2 linked regions of the Oryctolagus cuniculus genome follow. The protein of the gene in region 2 interacts with the protein of the main gene of each other region in a pairwise test. Links are inferred from orthologs where the notes say so. Each region holds a gene or a part of one and is shown on either strand. Other genes may lie near its edges.

What was found. The genes of interacting proteins can lie anywhere in the genome.
Region 1: the proteins of PSMG1 (region 2) and PSMG2 interact in binary tests that used the Homo sapiens proteins (3 or more experiments, as listed by UniProt). The link is inferred for Oryctolagus cuniculus from reciprocal best matches to the Homo sapiens genes PSMG1 and PSMG2.

Annotation. Positions count from the first base shown.
Region 1 is NC_091441.1:69,583,261-69,586,912, forward strand, and holds part of PSMG2 (proteasome assembly chaperone 2), read left to right. Parts: intron 1-1,739; coding exon 1,740-1,860; intron 1,861-3,371; coding exon 3,372-3,470; 3' UTR 3,471-3,652. UniProt on the Homo sapiens protein: Chaperone protein which promotes assembly of the 20S proteasome as part of a heterodimer with PSMG1.
Region 2 is NC_091435.1:5,957,179-5,960,830, reverse strand, and holds part of PSMG1 (proteasome assembly chaperone 1), read right to left. Parts: intron 2,738-3,652; coding exon 2,539-2,737; intron 1,105-2,538; coding exon 968-1,104; intron 1-967. UniProt on the Homo sapiens protein: Chaperone protein which promotes assembly of the 20S proteasome as part of a heterodimer with PSMG2.

The DNA.
Region 1 (3,652 bases), on a different chromosome or scaffold from region 2:
CCCCCAGCTGTTTCGAGCCTTTTGGGGGTGAACCAGTAGATGGGAGATATATTCTCTCTCTCTCTCTTTCTCCCTTTCAAATAAAAATAAATAAACAAATAAATAATTTTAAGAGATATATAGAACTTTGGCAGGTTAACTGTGTCTCCAGTGTCTGTGAACCTGTGTGTCATAATATTAGCTGACATTTCCATAGTATTGACTGTAGATTGGCAAAGCACTTTGCCTCCATTACCTTTTTTTTTTTTTTTTAATTTATTTATTTTATTGGAAAGTCAAAGCTACATAGAGAGAAGGAGAGGCAGAGAGAGAGTCTTCCATCCTCTGGTTCACTCCTCAATTGGTTGCAAGGGCCGGATCTGCACCGATCCGAAGCCAGGAGCCAGGGGCTGCTTCTGGGTCTCCCATGCAGGTGCAGGGGCTCAAGGGCTTGGGGCATTTTCTACTGCTTTCCCAGGCCATAGCAGAGAGCTGGATTGAAAGTGGAGCAGCCAGGACTCGAACCGGTGCCTATATGGGATGCTGGCAGTGCAGGTGGCGGCTTTACCCACTATGCCACAGTGCTGGCTCCTCCATTACCTCTTGTAAGCCTCACAACAGCCTGTGAAGTAGGTTCTGTTCATTATTCCTGTTTTATCAATGGAAAACCCCAGAGCCCTGAGTTAAATTAATTGCCCAGTTTATCTAGTGAGTAAGAGAGCCAGAATTTTTTTATTATTACATTTTTAGTTATTAAAATAGAAGATTTTATGAATGTTGTAGATATGATTGCAAGAATACAATGATATTTTTCTCCCTACCATCAGAATTTGAATCCTGGCATTCTGTCCTTGTTTCCATTATTCTAAATGGATTGATTTATAAAATGGAAATAATTACAGATTTCTCAAGAATTGTCATCATGATTGAATCATAAAATGTTCAAATAGTGCTTGGCACATAATAACCACTCAGTAAAAGGTATCTGTCAGAAGTGGTAGTAAATTCTCTTCCCTTTGTTCCAGCCTCTTCCAGTTTTCCTTTGCTGCTTTAGATTAGTAACTGGAGAGTTACTTTCTTTCAGGCTCCTTGCTACAGTGCTTCTGAAAATAGCTATCTTCTAAGAGTAGATTTGGGGATGGATCAGAGCAGACCTCAGGGGGCCAGTGTTGTGGTGTAGCAAGTTAAGCCATGGCCTATGATGCCAGCATCCCATACAAGCACCCAACAAATTAGTTGTTCCACTTCATATCCAGTTCCCTGCTAGTGCACCTGATACAGCAATGTAAGATGGTCCTAGTGCCTAGGCCCCTGCCACTTATGTGGGAGACCTGGATGGAATTCCTGTCTCCTGGCTTCAGTCTGACCCTACCCCAGCCATTGGTGGCCATCTGGGGAATGGAAGGTCTCTCTCCCTCTCTCCTCTCTCCCCTCTCCCTCTGCCTTTCAAATTTAAAAAAATTTAATTAAAGAATAATAATAGACCTCACATGGGGCAGGAAGGATGGTTTTCATGCAGCTTGGGTGAGGTGCAGACTGGCATGTGCCCCAGGCAGTTGTTAGATGACTGCTAGTTTTGTTTCCACAGACATAAGGGTATGCATTGGGCAAGGGGGAATAAATGAGTGATCTTAGGACATGGTGTTCCCTCCTCGCCTAAAACCCGGAATGTCATCCTGGCTATAAAAACAGACATGCTAGAATCAGCGTCTTCTATCAGTGGAAGAATACTAAATTATTATTTTTATTTATTTTTGTAGCTGTTCTAAAGATATCCAGATGGCAGTTCTGCTAAAATTTGTCTCGGAAGGGGACAATATCCCAGATGCATTGGGTCTTGTTGAATATCTAAACGAATGGCTTCAAATAATCAAACCACATGTAAGTTTTCTGTAACATAAGCTTTTATTTCTCTGGTTATGTATTCATTAACTGACATTTTGTAAATAAACCAAATAAATTAAGTTTATGTTCAATATAGACATATCTTTACACAGAATTTAATTTAAGCTGAATTTTTGGAAATCAGGACAGTTAGTCAACATATTATTTACAGTTGTTTCATGAATACTAGTTTTCCAAGAAATACAATCCTAAGTTCTTCATTGTACTTATTGCTTATTTTACATTAATTATGCCAGACAGATCCTTATAAAAATAAACAAGTCTTTGGGTTTTAGGTTTCTCTTTTTAAAGGATGCAGAAGGTAATACTGTGTGAGCTATACTGTAGCTATTAGATATGTGTCATGCTTAAAGGACTTTTCTGTGTAATGAGAAGAGAATGTGACACCCAGAGAAATGAGTTAGCCTTCAGGCAGAAGTCCATCAGGCTTCTTTATCTGGTGGGTAACTGTCTTTTTAATTTGTGCTTTGCCAAGAAAAAACTGACACAGATCACACTGATTCTTTTTTTTTTTTTTTTTTTTTTTTTTTTGACAGGCAGAGTGGACAGTGAGAGAGAGAGACAGAGAGAAAGGTCTTCCTTTGCCGTTGGTTCACCCTCCAATGGCCGCCGTGGCCGGCGTGCTGCGGCCGGCGCACCGCGCTGATCCGATGGCAGGAGCCAGGAGCCAGGTGCTTTTCCTGGTCTCCCATGGGGTGCAGGGCCCAAGCACCTGGGCCATCCTCCACTGCACTCCCTGGCCACAGCAGAGAGCTGGCCTGGAAGAGGGGCAACCGGGACAGAATCCGGCGCCCCGACCGGGACTAGAACCCGGTGTGCCGGCGCCGCTAGGCAGAGGATTAGCCTAGTGAGCCGCGGCGCCGGCCCCACACTGATTCTTTTTAAAGCCCCTATTCCTCTTGAATTTGATTTTATTTAATAGACTCCATCTATAGCCTTCCTGGCGTATTTTTATGATTTAGAACTTGATGGCCAGCGCCGCAGCTCACTAGGCTAATCCTCCACCTTGCGGCGCCGGCACACTGGGTTCTAGTCCCAGCCGGGGCGCCGGATTCTGTCCCGGTTGCCCCTCTTCCAGGCCAGCTCTCTGCTGTGGCCCGGGAATGCAGTGGAGGATGGCCCAAGTCCTTGGGCCCTGACCTGCATGGGAGACCAGGAGAAGCACCTGGCTCCTGGCTTCAGATCAGCATGATGCGCCGGCCACGGCGGCCATTGGAGGGTGAACCAACGGCAAAGGAAGACCTTTCTCTTTGTCTCTCTCTCTCTCACTGTCCACTCTGCCTGTCCAAAAAAATTAAAAAAAAAGAACTTGAAGAAATTTATCCTTAGGTGATATTCAGACATAGAAACTTATTATATTTTATCTTTCCTTACAGTAAAACCTGGCTACCCCATGGGACTCCACAGGGAGAGCTTTTTAATACCTGCGTATTAAAAGGAGATTTGTTGGTGAAGCTGAAAGGCTTTTGTTTTTTCCTCTTTTTCAGGTACAGGGTGATGACCCTACAGCATCCACCTTGCCATGGAAAATCCCAAGTTCCTGGAGATTACTCTTTGGCAGTGGTCTTCCTCCTGCACTCTTTTGACCCGTGTTTTGGTTTTAGACCTTGTATCCCAGGATACTTATTACCAACACAACTGTTAAACCTTCAATGTGAAAATTTGTATTATCTGAGAATGTATTAGGAAGTAAATATTTACTTTTCACAAAAATCTCTAAAAAAAAAAAAGGATTAACTGAAAGTCTTTTGCCATGCTTTTCCTCAGA
Region 2 (3,652 bases):
CTTTCAAATAAATAAAAATAAATCTAAAAAATAAGTGGATGGCTCAGTCAGCTAACTACATAGGCAAACAAAACCAGTCCTTAGTACCAACTTTGAAAGGGATCCCGATAACTCAATCTGACTATCCCTGACTCTGCTAACTTGAAAGATAAGCTGGAAGTATACTAAATCAGAGTTCCACAGTTTCGCTCTCCATTGATTCCACAGGTGGTAACTGAGCGCCTTCCCTCCATGCCGGGGACACGGTGCGATAAGGACACCAAAATGAAAAGCACCAGCTGCTGCGGCAAGGAGCTGACGAGTGAGTGAGACTGATTTGAGATCTGTGAAATGAGCGACCTCCAACAGAACCTGCCACGAAATCTTAACCTCAGTGGCCGTTCCGGAAACAAACAGGGCTGTGGGACACTGCAGTCCCTAAGCCAGGGCCAACGTGTCAGAGGACGCAGGGGAGTCCACACACCGCCCGACACGGCACAGCTCGCAGACATCCACGATGTGTTCTGTTGCTGATCCCTCTAGGAAATGAGCCCACAGATACAAACTGAGGGCAGGAAACAGGTTCATCCCCCAAGTATGATTCTCATATCTCCACATATCCCGTTCTCGGCACAATCATGGGAATACATTTTATAATAACTTGATTCATAAGATACTCAGAAATACCTTAGCAAAATTAACATCCCAAAGCAGTGAGAGACACTTAGAAAATAAAACCATCACGCCACACAGAGCTCTGGGCTTTAACAGCACTGCATCGTCCGTCACACAGAACGATTCTGCAAGGAGCACAGTGTATCTGGAAGAGCCGCTGACTACCAAATTCAGCTGTCAGGCTGGGAGCTTTGCTCCGAGGTCAAAGGATCTCCACGTGCGGTTGGGATTTAAGTTGACATCGCATGTTGGTATTTGTTATCAAGTTCATTACTGTAACGTGGGTCTTAATTCACGTGAGTGAAAACCTTACCTTAACCAAACCTTTGAAGCTTCTGGAAGAAAGCACAGGCTTAAACGCGTCGACTGTGATCAGGTCCAGTTTCATCACATCAGTGTAGCACAAGTACAGAACCGCAGAGAGGCTCCACACCTGACAGTAACTCAGAACTATGAATGCGGAGGAAAACCAGTAAGTCTAGCATACGTTCAAATTAGACTGCTTTGAATCATAAAGCTGGCTTTGTGAAACAGTCACCTCTCTTTCCTCTTTTAATCAAGTCACTTACTGCCATTCTGACTTCAAACACGTTATTTTCTTTCAAAACCAACTTATTTTCCTAATAATCTCGTTTCTGCAAATACTATCTTTATGTCTCATTGCCTAAACATACTGAGACAATTTTAAGTAGCTGAAAGATTAAAATTTTACTGATGCAAGGATTATATGTAAATAAGTAAATAATGCATAATGTAAAATATTTGGCCACTTTCTAGTAAAGTTCACATTAAAGGAAAAAAACTCATTTTAGTTTAATAAAATTCATTTTAAAAATAGCAAATATATATCACAATCTACTTACAGAAAATAAATGGCAATCTATTTCTGACATGATAGGAGGGTTTAGTGACAGCACATGAAAATCATAGGGGCTGGGGGCCGGCGCCGTGGCTCACTTGGTTAATACTCCGCCTGCAGCGGAGTAACATCCCATATGGGCACCGGTTCTAGTCCCGGCTGCTCCTCTTCCAGGCCAGCTCTCTGCTGTGGCCCGGGAGGGCAGTGGAGGATGGCCCAGGTGCTTGGGCTCCTGCACCCACATGGGGGACCAGCATAAGTACCTGGCACCTGGCTCCGGATCGGCACAGCACCGGCTGTAGCAGCCATTTGGGGAGTGAACCAACAGAAGGAAGACCTTTCTGTCTCTGTCTCTCACTGTCTATAACTCTACCTGTCAAATAAATAAATAAAAAGTATTTAAACAAAAACCATAGGGGCTTGTGTTGTGGCACAGCAGGCGAAGCCGCTGCCTGGGAAGCCGGTATGCCACGCAGGTACTGGTTTGTACCTTCTACCCAGCTCCACACTGATGGCCTGAGTACTTGGGCCCCTGCTAGCCCTGTGGGAGACCAGGATAAAGCTCCTGGCTCCTAGCTTTGGTCTGGCCCAGACTTTGGCATGGCAGCCACCTGGGGAGTGAGCCCGCAGATGGAAGAGCTCTCCCTGTAACTCTTTCAAAAAAAAAAAAAAAAAAAAAAAAAAAGCTCAAATAAATAAGTAAAATATTAAAGCAACTAGCAAGCTTCCATATCCAAACTTTTCTATTCTGCTAATTAAATGTGCTTAACAGACTTCATACGCCAGCACTGCACGGTTAGTGCTGGCCTGCGTGCTGAGTTACCACAGATCCAAAAGAACCAGAGCAGCCTTGAACCCTAACAGTTTCTAAGGAATCTCAGCTACTCCCAACACAGACAACATGGGAGTAACAGCAACTACTGGTACCAACCGTCATGAAGAGACCGCTTCACAAAGATCTCTAATCGTGAAAGAATGAACAAAACAGTAAGACGTCACCCAAACATTTGGGATTTTAAACTCACCTGCGGCGGGCAGGTCATGGACGATGTTTGGCTGCTCCAGCAGCGAACAGCACGTTTGGTCTCTGAAATTCTCGGTTTTCAGAGCTTTCAAGAAAGGAGAAGGTAGGCTGCAAGTAGATTCTGAGGTTTTATAGTCCGTAACGTGTCGACAGGTGAGAATGGTTACCTGCATGTTCTTCCTTGGACGAGAGCCAAACACCTGGCAGAAAATGGAGTTCAAATTAAAGCAGCATATAACTGTTACTGGATGGAAACAGTCCTGGGGTCACTCACTCAGCACCACGGCCAGGAAACAGCACCTCTGGCAGCAGTGGACGGCACACCCTTAACTGTCCCCGACCTGGGCTTGATCTTGGTTCTACTTCCAAGTCCCTTCCTCGTCTGTGAGCCTACTGAAGAGAGCTGTAACGGGGAGTAAATGACTGCGGGACTGTGTCCAGAGTCAGTGAGTCATGGGGCAGGTGCCGTGGCGCAGCGGGTTAAAGCCCTGGCCTAAAGCGCCAGCATCCCATATGGGTGCCAGTTCTAGTCCCAGCTGCTCCTCTTCCGATCCAGCTTTCTTCTATGGTCTGGGAAAGCAGTAGAGGGTGGCCCAAGTCCTTGGGGCCTTGTACCCACGTGGGAGACCCGGAAGAAGCTCCTGGCTCCTGATCAGCACAGCTCAGGCCATTGTGGCCATCTGGGGAGTGAATCAGCAGATGGAAGACCTCTCTCTGTGTCTCTACCTCTCTCTGTAACTGTGTCTTTCAAATAAATAAATCTTTAAAAAAAAAAGTCACAAATACACACCCTACGCTCATGACAGCAGAAAAGTGACTCTCATTCAATTCATTTTTTTTTCCCACGTCAGAGGCAGACAAGAGAGGGAGAACTCCCATCAGCTGGTTCGTTCCCCAGATGTCCACCATGGCCAGGGCTGGGCTGACGTCAAGCCAGGCACTGGGAACTCAAATTAGGTGACCCACACTGGTGGCAGGACCCAGGCACTGGAGCCATCGCTGCTGGGCTGCTGGCCTACTAGGGTCTGCACTGGCAGGAAGCTGGAGTTGGGAGCCAGGGCCACTGTGAAACCCAGGCGCTCCGATGTGGGACACAGACACCCTAACCAGCACCT